Bombyx mori: one gene and its partners. The protein of the gene in region 2 binds, or shares a complex with, the protein of the main gene of each other region. Links are inferred from orthologs where the notes say so. Each region holds a gene or a part of one and is shown on either strand. Other genes may lie near its edges.

Region 1 (6,405 bases), on a different chromosome or scaffold from region 2:
AAGCTGCATAGATTGCACTCTGGGTGGTTAGTGCGAGTTTTTTAACGTTCTCGATAGTGTAAAAGTTAATTCAAATTTCTGTGCAGTTGGAACAGCGCCCATAGCGGCAAACGTAGGAAAACGTTACGCTATATACAGGTTTATTCGAATAATTTGTCTCATTCCGGGACTATTTATAATCATGGCATGTAATATTATTTTATATTATTGCACCGATCGCGTTAGTAATAGTTCGTTAATACTTTTGCCACTCAGGTCAACTATGAATATGTTTGTTAAAGATTCCGGTTACATCCAGTTTACTTGTTCTTTTATCATCCCTTTCTGGCAAATCCATAACCCAGGAAGTGTTATAACCCACTGAGTTTCTCATAGAATCTTCTCAGTGGGTCGCGTTTCAGATCTCGTGGTAGATTCTGTGAAGCACTGCTCTTGGTATGACCAGTGTTAGCAACACCTCCGGCTTGAGTTCCGAGAGCTCACCTACACGCTAGGGTAACGCTGATATAGCCTCTCAAGGCTATCAGCATAGGTAGGAAAAAAAAGTATTTTAGTTACTTACATGTGGAAAAGTTATTTACTCGTCTATATTGTGGCCGATCGCCAGGCGTACCAGTTCTTTTCCAACGGAGTGGGCGACTCTAATATTATGATGCGTTTGTCGTGCTTGTCCGCCGTGAGTTGTAGCGCATATAAAAATAACGCTCGCGCGAAATATTGTGGATAGCTCTTAAATTTTGATTAATTATAAAAAATAACGTTAGCCTGAATGTGGTTTTAGTTAGATTTCCGAGTAATACTGTTGCAGCGGTACTGCAGTAATTGATCTCATAGATAAATAAAACTCGATCGTTTTTTTATCGAGCCAATTTGGTGCAAATACTATGGTTTGTGAAGTTTCCAGTACATCATTTTTGTAAGTCGTTAACAAAGTAGTAAATAAGGTTGCCTTCTTTTGTAACGCCGTAGCAAAGCATATACATATAGGTACTAGGACCTCTTGTGAGTCCGCACGGGTAGGTGCCACTGCCCTGCCTATTTCTGCCGTGAAGCAGTAATGCGTTTCGGTTTCAAGGGTGGAGTAGACATTGTAACTATACTGAGACCTTAGAACTTACATCTCAAGGTGGGTGGCGCATTTACTTTGTAGATGTCTATGGGCTCCAGTAACCACTTAACATCAGGTGGGCTGTGAGCTCGTCCACCCACCTAAGCGATTAAAAAAATTAAAAAAGCTTTTACTTTAACAATTTAACAATTTTTAGTGCTACAAGATTATATAAAATACAGAAATTCAACAATATTAAAAATATAAACGTTTTTGTTTGAAAAAACAATAATGGAATATTGTCCATGCAGATTCGATTTTAATTCAAAGAGGCCACCTGCTTAAAGCCGCAACTAGAAAATTTCAATACTAAAATCATCCTATAAAGGTTCTTCAATCAAAATACAAAATAATATAGTTTTTTTATAAGGTATCATCCACATAAAGCTTTCATGTTTTCGTTCTTACAAAATGATCAATAGTACATTAATGGCATGTCGGCATAACTGATTACTAGGGTGATAGTCATATGTGATCACATTTGTGGTAGGTACCTACATATAAAACTAGGTTGTTAGTTTATGTAATATATAAGATTTTTTTTTGTTTTTTTTTTTTTTTGTTATGTCAAATTATAGCACGATTGTACAAGGAGCACCTCGCAAAAAGGGCTACTGTAGCTTATGGACATAACAATTCTATATGCTAACGGAGAATATTGTGGAGAAGAGTTTTTTACCCTTGAGTTGGATTGTCCGCGGCACGGAATAGATAAATAAGGTTATTTATATATTTATATACAACCTTATTTATATATAAATAAGGTTATATATAACCTTATTTATAACCTTATTTATATATATATATATTTATATATATTTATATATATAAATATTATATATATATAAATATAAATATATAATATTTATATATATAAATATTATATATTTATATATATATAAATATATAATATTTATATATATATATAAATATATATATAAATATAATATTTTTATATATAACCTTATATATAAATATTATATATTTATATATAAGGTTATATATAAATATATAATAATAAATAAGGTTATTTATATATTTATATATAACCTTATTTATCTATTCCGTGGTCCGCGGAGTAAGTGATTCTATAAAAGGCACTCACTGTACGAGTTGTACGTGTTTTCATTTTTTTATTTCTCTTGGGTGTAGTGAGGTGTGTTTTCCAAAGCTGGTCGCGTGGTAAAAAATACATAACCAAAGCCTCTCCGTAAACTTAGGTCTACATTCTAAAGGATCCGTATACCACGCGAGCAGAAACCTGTGATTTGTATGTATAGTCATCCAGGACATAGGATATTTTGCATATATAGATATATTTCGTGACGAGGTAATAACTCAATAAAAAGCTACATAGGGCAACGAAGAGCGGATAGTACAAGATCATGCCGAAGATCTCCCATGCAGTGGATCAACTAAATCAATTTCTCCGAATTTTACATTACTCCTAACAGAATGTGCCGAAAATAGTGACCAGTATAAACTCAGAAATTAGCTATAGATAGATTGCGATAGGTAGCATCTTCCTTATGTTTGCTAGACTGAATATTTCTACTCGAAATCAATAGCTGTGTGATTTTAATAGTCGACTAGCGACCTGCCCTCGCTTCGCTTCGGATACTACAATTTATTTATTATTGATTTTATTGAATTTTCATTTATACAAATCTGAACCTGAGAAAACGACGTAATATATTGTATTGGGTAATCCATAATGCTCTACCACGTGGCTCTCAAACTACTTTGTGAGCACTGCCATTACCATATCAACTTTTTTAAATACACTCACTTCTGGCTGCCTCTGGCAATTCATAGAGCTTCAAACTTACTTTACGCTCTTTCAATTGATACGCCGCTTCAATCGGAACTTGCAAACGTATTTTGCATCAGACACGTGCTGATAAAAGTCCATTGTTTATCAATATTACTTTACCTTGAAAGTTGGCATAAAATTTTCCTGAATAACTTTTGTTGCTCCAAAGAACGTCATTTGAAAGCAGTTATTGTTTTGCTGGATATGAGTCAAAAATCTGGCCCATTTCCGGAAACCAACGAATGTATTTTTTTCCTATCTATGTGATAGCTTTAGAGGCTATTTCAGCTTCACTCTAACGTGTAGGGTGTAGGTGGGCTCACGGTGCTCAAGCCGGGAGTGTTGCCAACACTGGCCCTAGCAAGAGCTGTGCTTCGCAGAATCTAGGTAGCACCGGTTGTAAAACGCGACCCGCTGAGAAGATCCGGCGAGAAACTCAGTGGGCAACTAAATGTAGTGGCGTTCATTGGTCCGCAAAACAACGATTTTCTGTAAACTGTCAAATTCATTCTTTACATGCTCTTAAGTATCTATGTTATCAATATACCTAATTCCGACCGAAGCATTTGTTTTAAACGATATTCAGTTTTTTTACATCCTCTTTTACCATATTTGCAGCACGCGTTCTGTCAATGCTATGTCAAATGCCTTATGATTTACATTAGAAAACCATTAGAAAATTTAATACGGTGGTTATTTACCTTTACATTACGCAGTTCATTTTAACATAAATAAGATTACAATTCAAAAATCGGTGTATGTGCGGTGTCATAGAATAGCAGCACCGCCCCATCTCATCCCATGGGTGTTGTAAAGGTTGTCTAAGGATGGTTCAACGGAGAATGGTTAAGTGTTTTTTAGTAGGTATCATACCAAACTGACCTATGATCGTTAACTGGCGTTCCCTGGGTTGGTTGTGGGGCCGTGAGCTCGTTCACCTATCTACGCAAAAAAATGTAGTTTGCGTATTAATTGGGACATTAAGCTCACATCGAATATGTAAGAGAGCACTGGTAAGTAAAATAATTATATTATTTATTTTAGCAGTAAAACATTAATGGGGTTTGGTGGTTTGAAAGATGTTTATAGAATACAATTTGAATTTCGAGCTCTGCCCATATCCCAGGTGTTGTTATTCATATCTTAGCTTGTGCCTATATAGTTTGTGTTTGTGTCAGCCGCTTACGTACCTGCCTATCTGTTCACCTGTGCCCCAGATATTACTTGAGCTCCTGTGCTACTCTAGAGTTCGAACAAAATGTAATTTTTATCAATCATAGAATTAAAATTTTTAATATATACATTTTAAGTATTATTATATAATATTTATAATATTTACATTTGTCCGAGCCGTAGCACAGTACGGATCTCTCCGGAACGTTGTTACGCTCCTCGTGAAATATACGCAGTTCTCGTGAAGTTTTAAGTATTAATTAAGATCTGAGGTCGAGACTTATCTAGGTTGGATTAACCAGGAGCCGAAGAGCGCATGATCAGAATTGTATCATTTTCACAGTTCGATGTCGCTTCAAATTTAGTATCTGTTAACGTACCTATATAAAAAGTGAAACAAAATCTGTGGACGTGACTTTTCGAGGTCTTCCAAAAAGGTTTTGGAAGTACCTAGTACATTTCTATATGTAGCAAACGCCACCAGTTGCTGTAGAGTAATTCCATAATCCACAATAATTCCTTTGAAGTTTCAATAAATTTTCACAATATGACAGGTCATTTTAATTTAATCACAGCTAATTTAAATTAAACAGTTAAAGGTGTGACTTTCATTTGGTTTAGTTCTTTAGGCTATATTCCCTTTGCCTGTTTAATTGAACAAGTGGAATTAAAAAAAAAGTTTAACAGATAACCTAAGAAAAATAATCACACATTTATTGCTAGGTATGCCTCTTTAAACAGAATATTCACAAAAAAATATGAACCAATAACAAAATGCGTGATACTTGTTTATCGAATTGTGAAAAGAATTTCATACAAAAGATCGTATCTCAAGGACATGTAAGTTGAAACTAATAGAATATAACCTAAGACTCTTCTACAAAAGTAATTTGGAAATAAATTGATTACAGCGCTTGGACGGTCGAAATTTTAATGAAACCCGAAAACTAGATATATCATTTGGTTCTGAATATGGTTGCTGTATTGTGTCTTTGGGAGAAACGAAGTAAGTTGGAACTGAATCACTAACAAATTGTAAATAAACAAAGTAAATGAAGCAGTATATACTGTTATTTTTGTATTTAAACAGCGTTTATTGGATAGATAGAACAATTGAAGGATATAGAGAAACAAATTCAGTAGACCTGTCTTGTATTCTTAGATTGATTTATTTTGTTATTAATTTAACCACATCTTGAAAATGTTAAAATGATATTATGTAAATAAACTTGAATGAAAAGTAAAAAATCGTTAACATAAAAGAATACTATCACAGAATATTGGATAGAAATTTTGCAATACAATTAACTGACTTCATGTCTTAAAGTGAGTGTCTTTGTGATCTGTGAACCAGCACAGCAACAAGGAAATGCTCCATTGCTCATTAATTAACAGTTTTCAGATATGATGAATAAGAGAATAACACCTAAACTTTAAATGAATTTGTCCTAAAATTGCTAAAGCCTTATGAGCTACTTACTTATTTATGAACTTGACCTAAAGGGTAATATTAAGCTATCAATATTAAATGACTACTATCTTAAAATTACATTGGTGTGGGATCCCTAGTGCCCAATGAGATCTGTAGAATATGAAAAATTGTTTTCATTGGTGGCATTCACTGGAGTTGGGGGACATGGGTAACTAAAAAGTAAATTACTCAATTTCAGGATCCTATCAGAAGTCACATGTGAAGTCGCTCAGCCAAAACAAATAAGACCAAATGAAGGCATCATATTTATTAATGTTGAACTTAATCCTATGGCCGCTCCACAGTTTGAAGCCAATAGACAAACAGATCTCACTGTTTATCTTGTAAGATTATTAGAAAAATGTTACAAAGATTCAAAATGCATAGACCTGGAATCACTCTGCATTGTAGTAGAAGAAAAGGTAAATTTAAAAAAATCTTACCTTAATAGATCTAGATGTAAGCAATTCTGTATGCCATATGGACAGAATTATTTCACACTATGATGTTTTCCTGTTTTGTAATTATTTCCACTATTAATTTAAAATATTTCTAAAGTATTTATTTCCAAACTCTAGATAACATTTGTAGTAACTTTTAAATATCTGAAGATAGGCTGCAATGTAGGCAGTGGGTGTGGTGTCTTCCGTCTAGCCTATTTCTGACCAAAGTGCTTCTACAATGCTTCTGTTTTAAAATGAGCCCTCAATCTCATGTCTCATGGTGAGTGGTGCCATTCACATTATTTCTATGGAGTGGGGTAAGTATTTTATATGTTAGGCCAGGGATTCTGGTTGTGAAATCATAAATTAACTCAATTTTGGAGGTTGATGAGCTCTA
Region 2 (6,219 bases):
TTACTGAATTTCAACTAAGAAGTTTACATCACAATGAAACGACGGAGTCCTTGTACAGTCTGTGGTAGAGGAAAATCTTTTAGAGCTTGAATGCGCTCTGATGGTGGTTGTGTTCCGTCGGCGGATATTCTGTTTCCGAGAAAAGTAACCTCAGGAGCACCAAACACGCATTTTGCTGGATTAATAACGATTCCGTAATCTTCAAATCGCTTGAAAAGAGTACGAAGGTGTGCAGCATGTTGAAGAGCATCACGGGAATACACTAATATGTCATCAACGTACGCAAAGCAAAAATCGAGACCTTGGACAACTTCGTCTATAAATCTTTGAAACGTTTGGCCTGCGTTGCGCAGACCAAAAGTCATGTAATTAAATTCGTAGAGTCCGAAGAGTGTTATGATGGCGGTTTTACAGATATCCTCAGGCGCAACAGGAATTTGCTGATATGCCTTAACGAGGTCGATGGTACTAAATATACAACACCCAGATATGTTATGGCCAACGTCACCGATATGGCGAACTGGGTACCTGTCAGGTATGGTACGTGAATTCAACGCACGATAATCGCCGCAGGGTCGCCAGGTGCCGTCGCGCTTAGGGACCATATGAAGTGGAGAAGACCACGAACTTTTCGAAGGTCTGGCTGTCCCGCACTGTACCATATCATCAAAAACCTTTTTGGCCTCTTGAAGTTTTTGAGGTGCCAGACGTCTAGGACGACAAGAGACTGGGGCGCCCTCAGTGGTTAGAATATAATGAACTGTGTTATGCTTCGGCTCACGAATAAGTCCTGGTGGCTTCGTAATGGACGGAAATTCCGCAAGAAGTGCACTAAATTGGGATGACGGCGCGCAGACAACTTTGACGCTGGTCTGGTCTAAAACAGCGACGGCAGCAACGTATGACAACCCGGTAATGCTATCGACGAGTCTCTTACTGGCACAATCTGGCAACAACCGATAATGCGCCAGAAAATCGGAGCCGATGATGGCGGTGTTGACGTCAGCGATAATAAATCGCCATTGAAATGTGCGGCGTAACCCCAAATTAAGCGCCATTTCTATGTGACCAAAAGTGCGTATCTCACTACCATTGGCAGCCGCTAACGTATAGTTTGAACGTACCGGCTTATTTGCTAACCACTGGTATGGGTAACAGGAGAGGTCGGAGCCTGTGTCTATTAAAAAACGGCGCTTGGTTGCGCTTTCGGTGACAAATAATCGGCGACTCTCCTTTAAGCAGTCAGACGTCGCCATCATTGACTGCTTTTGTCGTTTTCCGAAGATGGCGGCGGCGTCCAGGTACATGGTTGAATACACTTAACAGCTTTAGTATTAAATTTCCTATGGTAAAAGCACATTTGAAGCTTACCAGGCGTTTGTGAGCGTCGTCGCTGGTTTGAGAAATCCCGGGTCCTATTTCTACCGCGCTCTGCAGTAAGCACAGCAAGCTGACGCGTGACCTCATCCAGACGCCGTGTGATATCTTCTAACGAAGGGGTTGAGACGGCAGACGTACTTGCTGAGAAAACAGCAGATGAATGAGGTGCGACCATACCAGGCGAAACTTCCAAAATTTTGTCCGCTAGCTCAGCGACTTTGTCCAGCGAGAGTTCTGATTGGGCGGCCAAAATTGCTTGGAGATGTTGTGGGAGGCGACGCATCCATAGCTGGCGAAGCAAATTTTCATCAGTGAGGGTTTTTCCTGCCAATGATCTAAGATAACGTAAAAACTGCGAAGGACGGCGGTCACCCAACTCAACATCACTGACAAGTTGCCTGACACGTTGCTCATTAAATTGGAAAAATCTTAGTAAATAACCACCATTTTACTGAGATTATATTTCATCCCATATCATCTCATTTCATTTAATTTCATCTCAGTTGATTAATGTCTCAAATTAATCATCTTCGTTTCATTTCATTTCATCTCACTCCATATTATCATTTTGCATAAAAATAATAATATAAATTAAAATAAGAAATGACTTAAAGGTCTTAGTTACCAGGTCACACTACCCTGAAAAAAAACACGATAACATAACCTACAAAATAAAGTTTAAAAAATAATTGAACGAAAATAATATATTTATTAGTCTTTATTCTTTAATAACCATAACGTCCATAACCAATCTCATGAATTATTAGAATCACCGCGAATTTTAAAAACGGAATCGACTATGATAATATAACATAGTAAAAAGCAAATATTTTTAACAAAACAATTCAACATATTGAACAATTCATTATTTTTTAATGTGTTTTTGTTAGAAGTTAAATAATGCCCGCTGCCGATCTACTCTCGAGTCAAGGACTACGTCTTGACGGGCGGAGACCCAATGAATTACGTCGGATAAGATGTAAACTTGGTGTATTCACCCAGCCTGATGGAAGTGCGTATCTCGAACAAGGAAACACGAAAGTGCTTGCAGCCGTGTATGGACCCCATCAGGTATATGATACAAACGATTTACAAATACTGATTAGTTTACCGTGGCAAAACGTCTGTAAATCTGCCTGAGTAAATAATCATCACTATCCCGCTACTTCTGCTACAAAATTGCACTATTTCTGCTACAAAAGTGTAATGCCTTCTGGCTTGAAGAATAAGACAGCTATTTTACAATATTGAAGTATCGACCCATGTGCCAAGGTCGCATTCACGTCTTGATGTGTTTCAGCTTTAGTAACCAAATTCTTACCAAGTAGCTGGTAAAAAATATGTATTTACACATTTTAGGTACTTCATTTTCGGACACGTTCTTCATAAATGAAAAACCTTCATTATAATTTAAAATGTTTTTCAGGCTTCAAAATCGAAGATGTCGACAGAAGCTGTAGTTGTCAACTGCCAATACAGTATGGCTACATTCTCAACAGGTACCCATTGAGAGTTCAACATATTTTCAAAAGCCTCTTCAAATAAATGAGATTATATATAGAGAAAAAAATCTGTATGAGCTTAATCGCACATTAAAAATACACAAGTTAATAACATCCGTGGATTTCCAATCAATCTTAGAATTAATTTCAGTGTGTACATTTATTTGTTCCTGCACATCATCAGACCTACTGAACCAGATACGTTTACTACGTACGTGTAGTTTTTTTTATGGTGGACAAAAATTTGTTTGTAACAGAATAAAGGTTTTGTTTTATTTTAATCAAAAGATGCAAAAAGTTTTCATCATTTAAAGTTTTATGGAATTTACTTAGTGCCATTATATGTTAGAAAATATACAGCAAATAATAACATGAAAATGAAAGAAACTCTACTATGGGAAATTAAATAGGATGCATTTTATCCTAGTGTTAAGCACAGTCAGCGGCAGGCAATAGCTCTGCCCCTGACATTGCTGAAGTCAATGGGCGACATTACTGTGTGGTTACCCACTCACCATCAAGTAGGCCGTATGCTCGTCTGCCTACAAGAGAATAAAAAAAATTCTCCACTCACATAATATAATATGTAATTTAGGTAAGCATATAGCTGGCAGATAGGCAGTTATATTATAAATGTTATACATTTGAAAACAATACAATTATGTATGTGATAAGCCTGCAGAAGTAGGTACTGTTATATGTTTACAATGAAGCAATCATGCTTTGCAGTTTCATAATACATTTGAGATTTTGACTGTCTCTCAAAATCGGTGGCATTATACACACTGCGATGTCTATGTATTCTACCCATTTAAAAGTTAAAACTAGGATATTCCCTCGTCAGTACAAAAAGAAACTAAGATAGACCCAAAGATATGAATATTCTTATCTACACAACTTATAAGGGTTATTATATATATATGCCTATTAGGCTACATAACTTATTATTTTTTTTTTTTTTATTGCTTAGATGTGTGGACGAGCTCACAGCCCACCTGATGTTAAGTGGTTACTGGAGCCCATAGACATCTACAACGTAAATGCGCCACACACCTTGAGATACAGTTTTAAGGTCTCAGTATAGTCACAACGGCTGCACCACCCTTCAAACCGAAACGCATTACTGCTTCACGGCAGAAATAGGCGGGGCGGTGGTACCTACCCGTGCGGACTCACAAGAGGTCCTACCACCAGTAATTACGCAAATTATAATTTTGCGGGTTTTTTTTATTACACGATGTTATTCCTTCACCGTGGAAGTCAATCGTGAACATTTGTTGATTACGTATTTCATTAGAAAAATTGGTACCCGCCTGCGGGATTCGAACACCGGTGCATCGCTTCAACACGAATGCACCGGACGTCTTATCCGTTAGGCCACGACGACTTCTAAACGACTTATTATCGAACATTTCGCATCTAGGTGAACGAAAGAACCGACCTCGCGGGGACCGCAAGTCACAAGAAATGTCAATGCATCTCCGACAAGCTCTAACTGCTGCTATTAAAACTGAAATGTATCCAAGGTCGCAAATAGATATATACATAGAAGTATTACAGGTAAAACATATAATTTTTTTTTTTTAAATCCTTATCGACGGATTATATGCTATTTGGGTTATACGACATTTCGTTTACTATGCGATATTTATCTTTCTAATTAAAGGTCGGTTTTATTTAGTATTAGTATCACCAATCCAATGTTTTTAATTGAACTTCAGTTAAGTTTACCGCATTCAAATAGCTGAAGAAGTTTTTGTTGTTGCGATATTTTTTTCAAATTTTAAACTTTAAATGGCTCTCCTGTAAAGTAACAAAAATGTCGCTTAAACGAAATGGCCTTTCACCCATCCTTATGATAGCTGAGTCAAGAGCAGGTGACCTCACAGCTTGCTTGAAGTTCAGCGGTCACAAGTGTTCAAACAACTAAGCGTTTATGGTTTTTTCCCCAAATTTTTTTTTCCATTTTTGTTCTGTATGACTTATTTCTGAGAAATGTAATGCTAATCAAACTATATAAACAAAAATGAACTGTGAATATTTTCTCTGCGTACCAGTGCTGGTTTTTCAGTTCCTAACATGAGACAAAGGGACAGACTGTTTCAATGGATAGTGGGATTATACAAAAAAAAGTGTGCAACTGAAGTTTGCCTAGCAAGAAGCATAAGATATCCACCCAGACAAGTTGTATTTTAACAGGCCGATGGTGGTACGTATTGTGCCAGCGTGAATGCAGCCAGTCTAGCGCTGATAGACTCTGGTATACCTCTGAGAGCGTACGTGACCGCCTGCTCGGCGTCCCTGGGCCGACAAAGCGCCACCCACGAGCCCCTGGTGGACGTTAGTCACATCGAGGAAGCAGCCGATGGAGTATGTTTGACCGTAGCCAGCTTACCCAGCACAGGTTAGTGTAATTACCATGTCACTGCAACTTCAGATGTTAATTGTCTCAAAGTAGACCAATGCTATTTACTGGTGGTAGGACCTTTTGTGAGTCCGCGCGGGTGGGTACCACCACTTTGCCTACTTCTGCCGTGAAGCAGTAATGCGTTTCGGTTTGAAGGGGCAGCCGTTGTAACTATACTGAGACCTTAGAACTTATATCACAAGGTGGGTGGCGCATTTATGTTGTAGATGTCTATGTAACCACTTAACACCAGGTGGGCTGTGAGCTCGTCCACCCATTTAAGCAATAAAAAAAAATGCTAGGCACAAAAACCTTTTTTCTTTTTCTTTGTAAAGCTCCACCGAAGAGATCTTGATCGCAATGTTCAAGTTTGGACTGAATCAAACTAGATTTAATTATGTACGTACTAAAGGAGTGTAATTACTGAAGGAAATGCCATGTGTCCACACAGATCTGTATGTTGTCATTTCTCTGCCTGCCACAAAAAAAGCAATCATGTGCAAATTTTTTAGTGTAGTACTAATTGCAATGCTTTTTATAACTGGAATGTCATGGCGGAGTGGATTTATAACTTTTATAAATACAATCTTATGTCATTCAGGTAAACTCATTAAAAATAATGTATAGAAATATGTCTTTAAGTTTGTTTATTATAAGTTTTGTTGTAGGAAGCATAGCGCTATTGGAGATGTCAAATCGTCTCCACATGGACCATTTCAACATTGTATTGACCAGAGCTATGCAGGGCTGCAGAGATATAGAGGTGAAGACATAATTTAAACTCATCTTTTGATAAATTATACTTTGACAAGAATGAGGAATTAAAATGATGATGAATTATTAATGAGTCCACATTGAATAATAAAGCAAAGCAAATGGTACAAACAAATATGTAGTTTTATATCTTTGATTCGTCTTAAACGTTTGTTA
Region 3 (5,701 bases), on a different chromosome or scaffold from region 2:
ATTTCTCAAGTAATGTACACATACGATAATCCCAAAGTTGAATCACACCATTGTGCAAACTAGCCAGCACCCATGGTCGCTTAGCATGAAACGATATGCCTTTCACCCGCGCAGACTTCGTCTCGAATTTTTTTAACATTTTGATTCAAACACCGCTGAAATAATACGAAAAACTACAAAAATTAAAACAAGCGCAATGACAGCCAACCGGCTGACGTGACACGTCCAACACAGAATAGTGCTGAGCTTGTAATTGATCAAAATTGAAAATATCGACAAATCTGAACAAAACTATCGATGTTAATTTGATCAAATCATTAACTAATTTTGAATGGAAACGAATAAACACACCAATTAAAATCACATATTTCGTATCTTCTTAATGGTTGTAATCATCAGTATAATTAGCGTTATTAAAAAACTTTGAGAGTCGGGTAGCCTGGTTGAGTTAAATTTATCTTTCCTGATGAATCAATGGTTAGCTTTTTTATTTATTGCTTAGATGAGTGGAGGAGCTTACAGCCCACCTGGTGTTAAGTGGTTACTGGAGCCCATAGACATCTACAACGTAAATGCGCCATCCATTTTGAGATATAAGTTCTAAGGTCTCAAGTATAGTTACAACGGCTGCCCCACCCTTCAATCCGAAACGCATTACTGCTTCACGGCAGAACTAATGCTGGTACCTACCCGCGCGGACTCACAAGAGACCCTACCACCAGTAATTACGCAAATTATAATTTTGCGGGTTTGATTTTTATTACACGATGTTATACCTCCACCTTGGGAGTCAATCGTGAACATTTGTTGAGTACGTATTTCATTAGTAAAATTGGTACCCGCCTGGGATTCGAAACACCGGTGCATCGCTCAACACGAATGCACCGGATGTCTTATCCTATAAGCCAAGACGATGTTAGCTGTGAGTGTTTTGAGTTAATAATATAAATAAGGTTCAAAAATCATTTATTTCAACTTAGATGTCAGTATAACATAGATTTTCACGAACCATATCGTAGCACTAACAATAATCAGTAATTAATTATGTAGATAAAATATATTATTATGGCTAGTAAGATTTTACGAAAATAAGTGAGAATATTTTGCATCATCCAAGTCGATTATGATATTTTAGTAGATGAAATAATAGAGGAAAAACAAATACTGGTGGTAGTGGTGGTGGTACCCTCTTCCTTACTAACGTTTTTTCCGTGGTAGGGAGACGAGCACACGTTCCACCTGGTAAGTAGTCAAAGTAGTAAAGTGGAAAGCCAGCAACGCCATTGCTTACTGCAACAATATTTTTTAATTATTTAGACGAGTGAGAGACGAGACAAAGTCCAGGCCCATCTGGTATTAAGTGGTCACTAGAGCCCATAGACATTTTTTGATTCAATTTTTCCTTATTAGGAAAGGCAAGGGGATCTAAACCCATACAGCCTTGTGTGTTGTATATAATTTCTAAAATGAATTTTCAAAAAAGCCGAAGCCAGGTCTTATATGATTTATATTATATCCTGAAATAAAAAAATCATTAAGGCAGAAGCCAAGTCCTTTATAATTTCTTTCTGAAATAAAACCCAGAGACATCGTAACCTTAATGCCACTATCGATCCCTAGATATGAGTTTTAAGTCTCAGTATTAAAGTACAACAGCTGCCCCATCCTTCATACAGAAATGCATTACTGCTTCGTGACAGAATAATTGAATAGGCAGAGTACTGGTATTTGCTTGTGCTGGCTCACACCACCAATGAATGATCTACAGTAAATCCACATTAGTTCCAGTAGTACCAGTCGACAACGCAAATATTTTTATTATTCTTGGTTTACAAGGTCCTCGCACCTAAGGGGCACGTGGAGAAAAGCTTACCTGAGATCAAAATGTAAATAGCCCAACGTGGGTCTCGAATGACGACTCTGAGATTATGAGTCTCATGCTCTGACTGAGTTATCCGGGATTTTACAAAGGGAATGTCACATCTCAACAATTTAAATAAAAATTGATTTCGTTGCGTTGTACGTTTCATGGAAGAAATGTCACCCTCTATTACGAAATGATTAAGCTCTATAAACTTTGTTTCTTTTACTTAATTAATCAAAGAACGAACAAAAAAACATTTGCACTTTTGTATAATCTATGATTTCACTACGCGATTAAAAAAAAGATCATAACCATAGATTATACACCTAATTTATTTGAGAATCTTATCTTCGCTAGAAGTAATAGTGTTCTGTGATCTTAACTTATGTACATAACAAATAACAAACTGTAACTGGAATTAATAAACAACACAGTTCAACACACTATTATAAGACAGTTTACAATTAAAGACACGTTTTAGCTGTGACGAAAATAATCTAACCGAACTTTAAGTTGTAGTTCAAGTTAAATTGTAAATTCTAACCTCTACTACATTATGAATTTGGAAGAAAAAATAAAAGAAATAGGTTCAATATGTATTCCTGGAATGCGACTGAGTTTATCAAACAAAGACAACGTATCAGGGCCGGGAACCTATGAATTGAAAGGATATATTTATGCGGCTTTAGCTGGAATCTTGAAAACAGAAGAGGATGAAAACACCAAAGTAAATAACGTTACAGTCTTTGTATAAGCTGCCACTGATTGCTAAAACGATTTTATTGCAACCGTCATCCGTGCCTCTTTAATTGTGACTTAAAATGCCCATAAATATGCTCTGCAAAACACTACATTACCATGGACGAAGATAGGTACTGTAGCTTAACAGGTATATCATATGGAATTTACTGCCTGTAGAAGACACTTATGGACACTCGGTTTTATGGTCTTTAGTTTAGGCTTGCTCACTATTTCAAGCAGACGCTTCTTTTAGCAGCAGAATATTTTTTTATGCAATAGCAGATGAAATTCTAAATTCACCCCAGAATTCTATTTCAACAAAATAGAAAATGAAACAAATGAAAAAACCTATAAATTAAACTAATGATTGAAAATTTTTTAGGCTAATATAATTTCAGTAGAAAGTTCAAGAACACCAAGTGTTTTACCCAACACAGGTGACATAGTAACCGCAAAAGTAACAGTTGTAAATCCAAGAACTGTACAATGCCTAATCCTCTGTGTTGGCCCTTCAGTACTTGTTAGAATGTACAAAGGAATATTAAAAAAAGAAGATATAAAGGCAACAGAGAAAGACAGAGTTGATCCATATAAATGTTTTAGACCTGGAGATATTATACTAGCTAGAGTTGTATCCTTTACAATATTATAAACTTGTTAGTATTCAAAAAACCTTTTCACTTTTAATAATGACTTACTCTTTGTTTGTATTTGACTCATTAGATGGGTCTTTACATTATGTACTAACCTTATAGTTTGCCTACCACATGAAACACTTGAGCATTGTGGGATTTTGGAGTCACATTTGCTTAGAAATTATGATTATACTGCAAAATAGAATGCAGTTTTGGTTTTGTATAACATCAAACTCTATGTCTACTCAAGCTTGAAAAATACATCTATTATATTCACTGAATATTAAATAATATATAATCATTTTCCTAAACTGGAATTCAGTTACCAATGACGGAAATCCACTGGTACCAATTATCGACTGCAGAAAATGAACTGGGAGTTGTTATCGCTACAGCTGAAGGATCACCGCAAGGGGTCAGCATGGTACCAATAAGCTGGTCAGAGATGCAGTGCCCTAAAACTCTAGTCAAAGAACCAAGGAAAGTTGCTAGAGTTATACCGGAAAATATTAATCAATCACTCTTTCCAGTTCATTCAAAGCAAGACAATCATCACACTGATAAATAATTTTTATTTCAATTACAGACATGTTTTATTTTATTAAATTTTAGGCAAACAATGTATTCATAAAAAATTATATTAACTCTAATCTATTTCTGAAACTTGGAATGTTGATTATGAGAGTAAAACTATTACCAAAGTCAAGGGTTAAAAATTTTTGCTGACTGTTGAATACTCGCAAACTCTGGGTATTAATTTGGCTGTAACCAAGCACATTGGTTTTAGTCTAAGGTAGTACCCCTGAACACCAGCTGTACCGCTTCGGCGGCCTTGTTAACATATTCGTTTTTCTGGGTTACTCCCACGGACTGCATTCTTCAAGCAGCAACAAAACATAATAACTAAAAGTTTAAGTGTACTTTTTTCACCTTGAAGGATTGACATCATGTAATAAAAATCAAACCTGTAAAAATTTTAATTTCCATAATAATTGGTTTTCATTTCCATTGGCTTATTTTTTCCTGAAGCGTTAGGTAATGAGTTACAGTTGTACAGACTGTAAGGACACATGTCTTAAGAAAGGACGGCAGTTGATAATATCTGTAGTAGTGGTGGGCAAATATTTTTAATGGCGGGCCACAAAGTTTAAGAAATTCTAGAGGAGGTCCAGAATTATAGAAAAATGCATTTTGTATTAAAGCATTTTAATAATCAAAATACCTTTTACTATTACGCCTTATTTGGCGTGTGGGACGTGAGGTGTGTGAGAGATGGTGATGGAGGTGAAAAGAATGGTTTTTTGCCAATAAATAAACTAATACCTGTGACAGACTGCCGAGATAATTATAATGATGGCAAGTTAATTAGATAATGAAATAATAAATGAGATAATGAAAGCTCAAAACACCCTTGACGAATAGGAACTTTCATTAAAAATTCGAAGATTTTCAATTATAAACGACAGACTTTATTTTACGCGCCAAAATGCTGACCACGGATGTATCCATACAGTCCATAAAGACTGGATCTCGGATGCATACTTTGTGTTGTAGTTTTCACTAAAGTCACTATGTACAATGCATTCTTCTGTAGTTACATTTTCTTTTAACTGTTTTATGTGATTATATTGTCCTGTAATATTTCCATAGTGGCGCACGTTTTTTTTATTTATTTTTTATTGCTTAGATGGGTGGACGAGCTCACAGCCCACCTGGTGTTAAGTGGTTACTGGAGCCCATATACATCTACAACGTAAATGCGCCACCCACGTTGAGATATAAGTTCTAAGGTCTCAGTAAAGTTACAACGGCTACCCCACCCTTCGAACCGAAACGCATTACTGCTTCACGGCGGAAATAGGCGGGGTGGTGGTACCTACCCGTGAGGACTCCCAAGAGGTCCTACCACCAGTGATTACGCAAATTATAATTTTGCGGGTTTGATTTTTATTACACGATGTTATTCCTTCACCGTGGAAGTCAATCGTGAACATTTGTCGAGTACGTATTTCATTAGAAAAATTGGTACCCGCCTGCGGGATTCGAACACCGGTGCATCGCTACACACGAATGCACCGGACGTCTTATCCTTTAGGCCACGACGACTTCTAAGGTTCTGTAAGGTTCTAATAGTTTATGAAACTGTTCAATTATGTTTCTGGGAAACTCTACGACTTTCTCTTTAATTGTTTGAAGAGTAGATTTTTCTTGGCTATCTTTGAAGTAAGTTTTTTTTACCTTTTTCCAAGTCCAGTCTCTTTAGAGTTATCAAATTCCTTAAAAGTTATTTGTTTATCTTTGCACAGTACACAATTTCTGGACAAACAATCACCATTTCTGCTATCGCAACACAAATATTGTAGGATTTGGGTAGTGGATTTCTCTTCAATAAGATTAGTTTTTTCGTAAAGCTGTTACCACCAGTTCCATGTTCTCATGAACCTTACATAAGCAGGTGTCT

The links.
Region 1: exosome complex component RRP41 (region 2) and exosome complex component RRP45 share a complex: the UniProt entries of both Homo sapiens proteins name them as parts of the RNA exosome core complex. The link is inferred for Bombyx mori from reciprocal best matches to the Homo sapiens genes EXOSC4 and EXOSC9.
Region 3: exosome complex component RRP41 (region 2) and exosome complex component CSL4 share a complex: the UniProt entries of both Homo sapiens proteins name them as parts of the RNA exosome core complex. The link is inferred for Bombyx mori from reciprocal best matches to the Homo sapiens genes EXOSC4 and EXOSC1.

What each region holds. Positions count from the first base shown.
Region 1 is NC_085119.1:13,154,261-13,160,665, reverse strand, and holds the start of exosome complex component RRP45, read left to right. Parts: upstream 1-2,227; 5' UTR 2,228-2,264; intron 2,265-2,343; 5' UTR 2,344-2,378; intron 2,379-3,470; exon of another isoform or gene 3,471-3,539; 5' UTR 3,540-3,934; intron 3,935-4,111; exon of another isoform or gene 4,112-4,163; intron 4,164-4,260; exon of another isoform or gene 4,261-4,351; intron 4,352-4,474; exon of another isoform or gene 4,475-4,705; intron 4,706-4,817; 5' UTR 4,818-4,868; coding exon 4,869-4,934; intron 4,935-5,005; coding exon 5,006-5,100; intron 5,101-5,764; coding exon 5,765-5,987; intron 5,988-6,405. UniProt on the Homo sapiens protein: Non-catalytic component of the RNA exosome complex which has 3'->5' exoribonuclease activity and participates in a multitude of cellular RNA processing and degradation events.
Region 2 is NC_085134.1:3,234,044-3,240,262, reverse strand, and holds the start of exosome complex component RRP41, read left to right. Parts: upstream 1-1,860; 5' UTR 1,861-2,280; coding exon 2,281-2,451; intron 2,452-2,806; coding exon 2,807-2,879; intron 2,880-4,305; coding exon 4,306-4,442; intron 4,443-5,081; coding exon 5,082-5,286; intron 5,287-5,957; coding exon 5,958-6,052; intron 6,053-6,219. UniProt on the Homo sapiens protein: Non-catalytic component of the RNA exosome complex which has 3'->5' exoribonuclease activity and participates in a multitude of cellular RNA processing and degradation events.
Region 3 is NC_085132.1:3,512,044-3,517,744, forward strand, and holds exosome complex component CSL4, read left to right. Parts: upstream 1-2,059; 5' UTR 2,060-2,420; coding exon 2,421-2,591; intron 2,592-2,987; coding exon 2,988-3,236; intron 3,237-3,562; coding exon 3,563-3,808; 3' UTR 3,809-3,823; downstream 3,824-5,701. Other genes in the region: COPA (coatomer protein complex subunit alpha), read right to left, coding at 1-139; PH domain-containing protein DDB_G0287875, read right to left, coding at 5,635-5,701. UniProt on the Homo sapiens protein: Non-catalytic component of the RNA exosome complex which has 3'->5' exoribonuclease activity and participates in a multitude of cellular RNA processing and degradation events.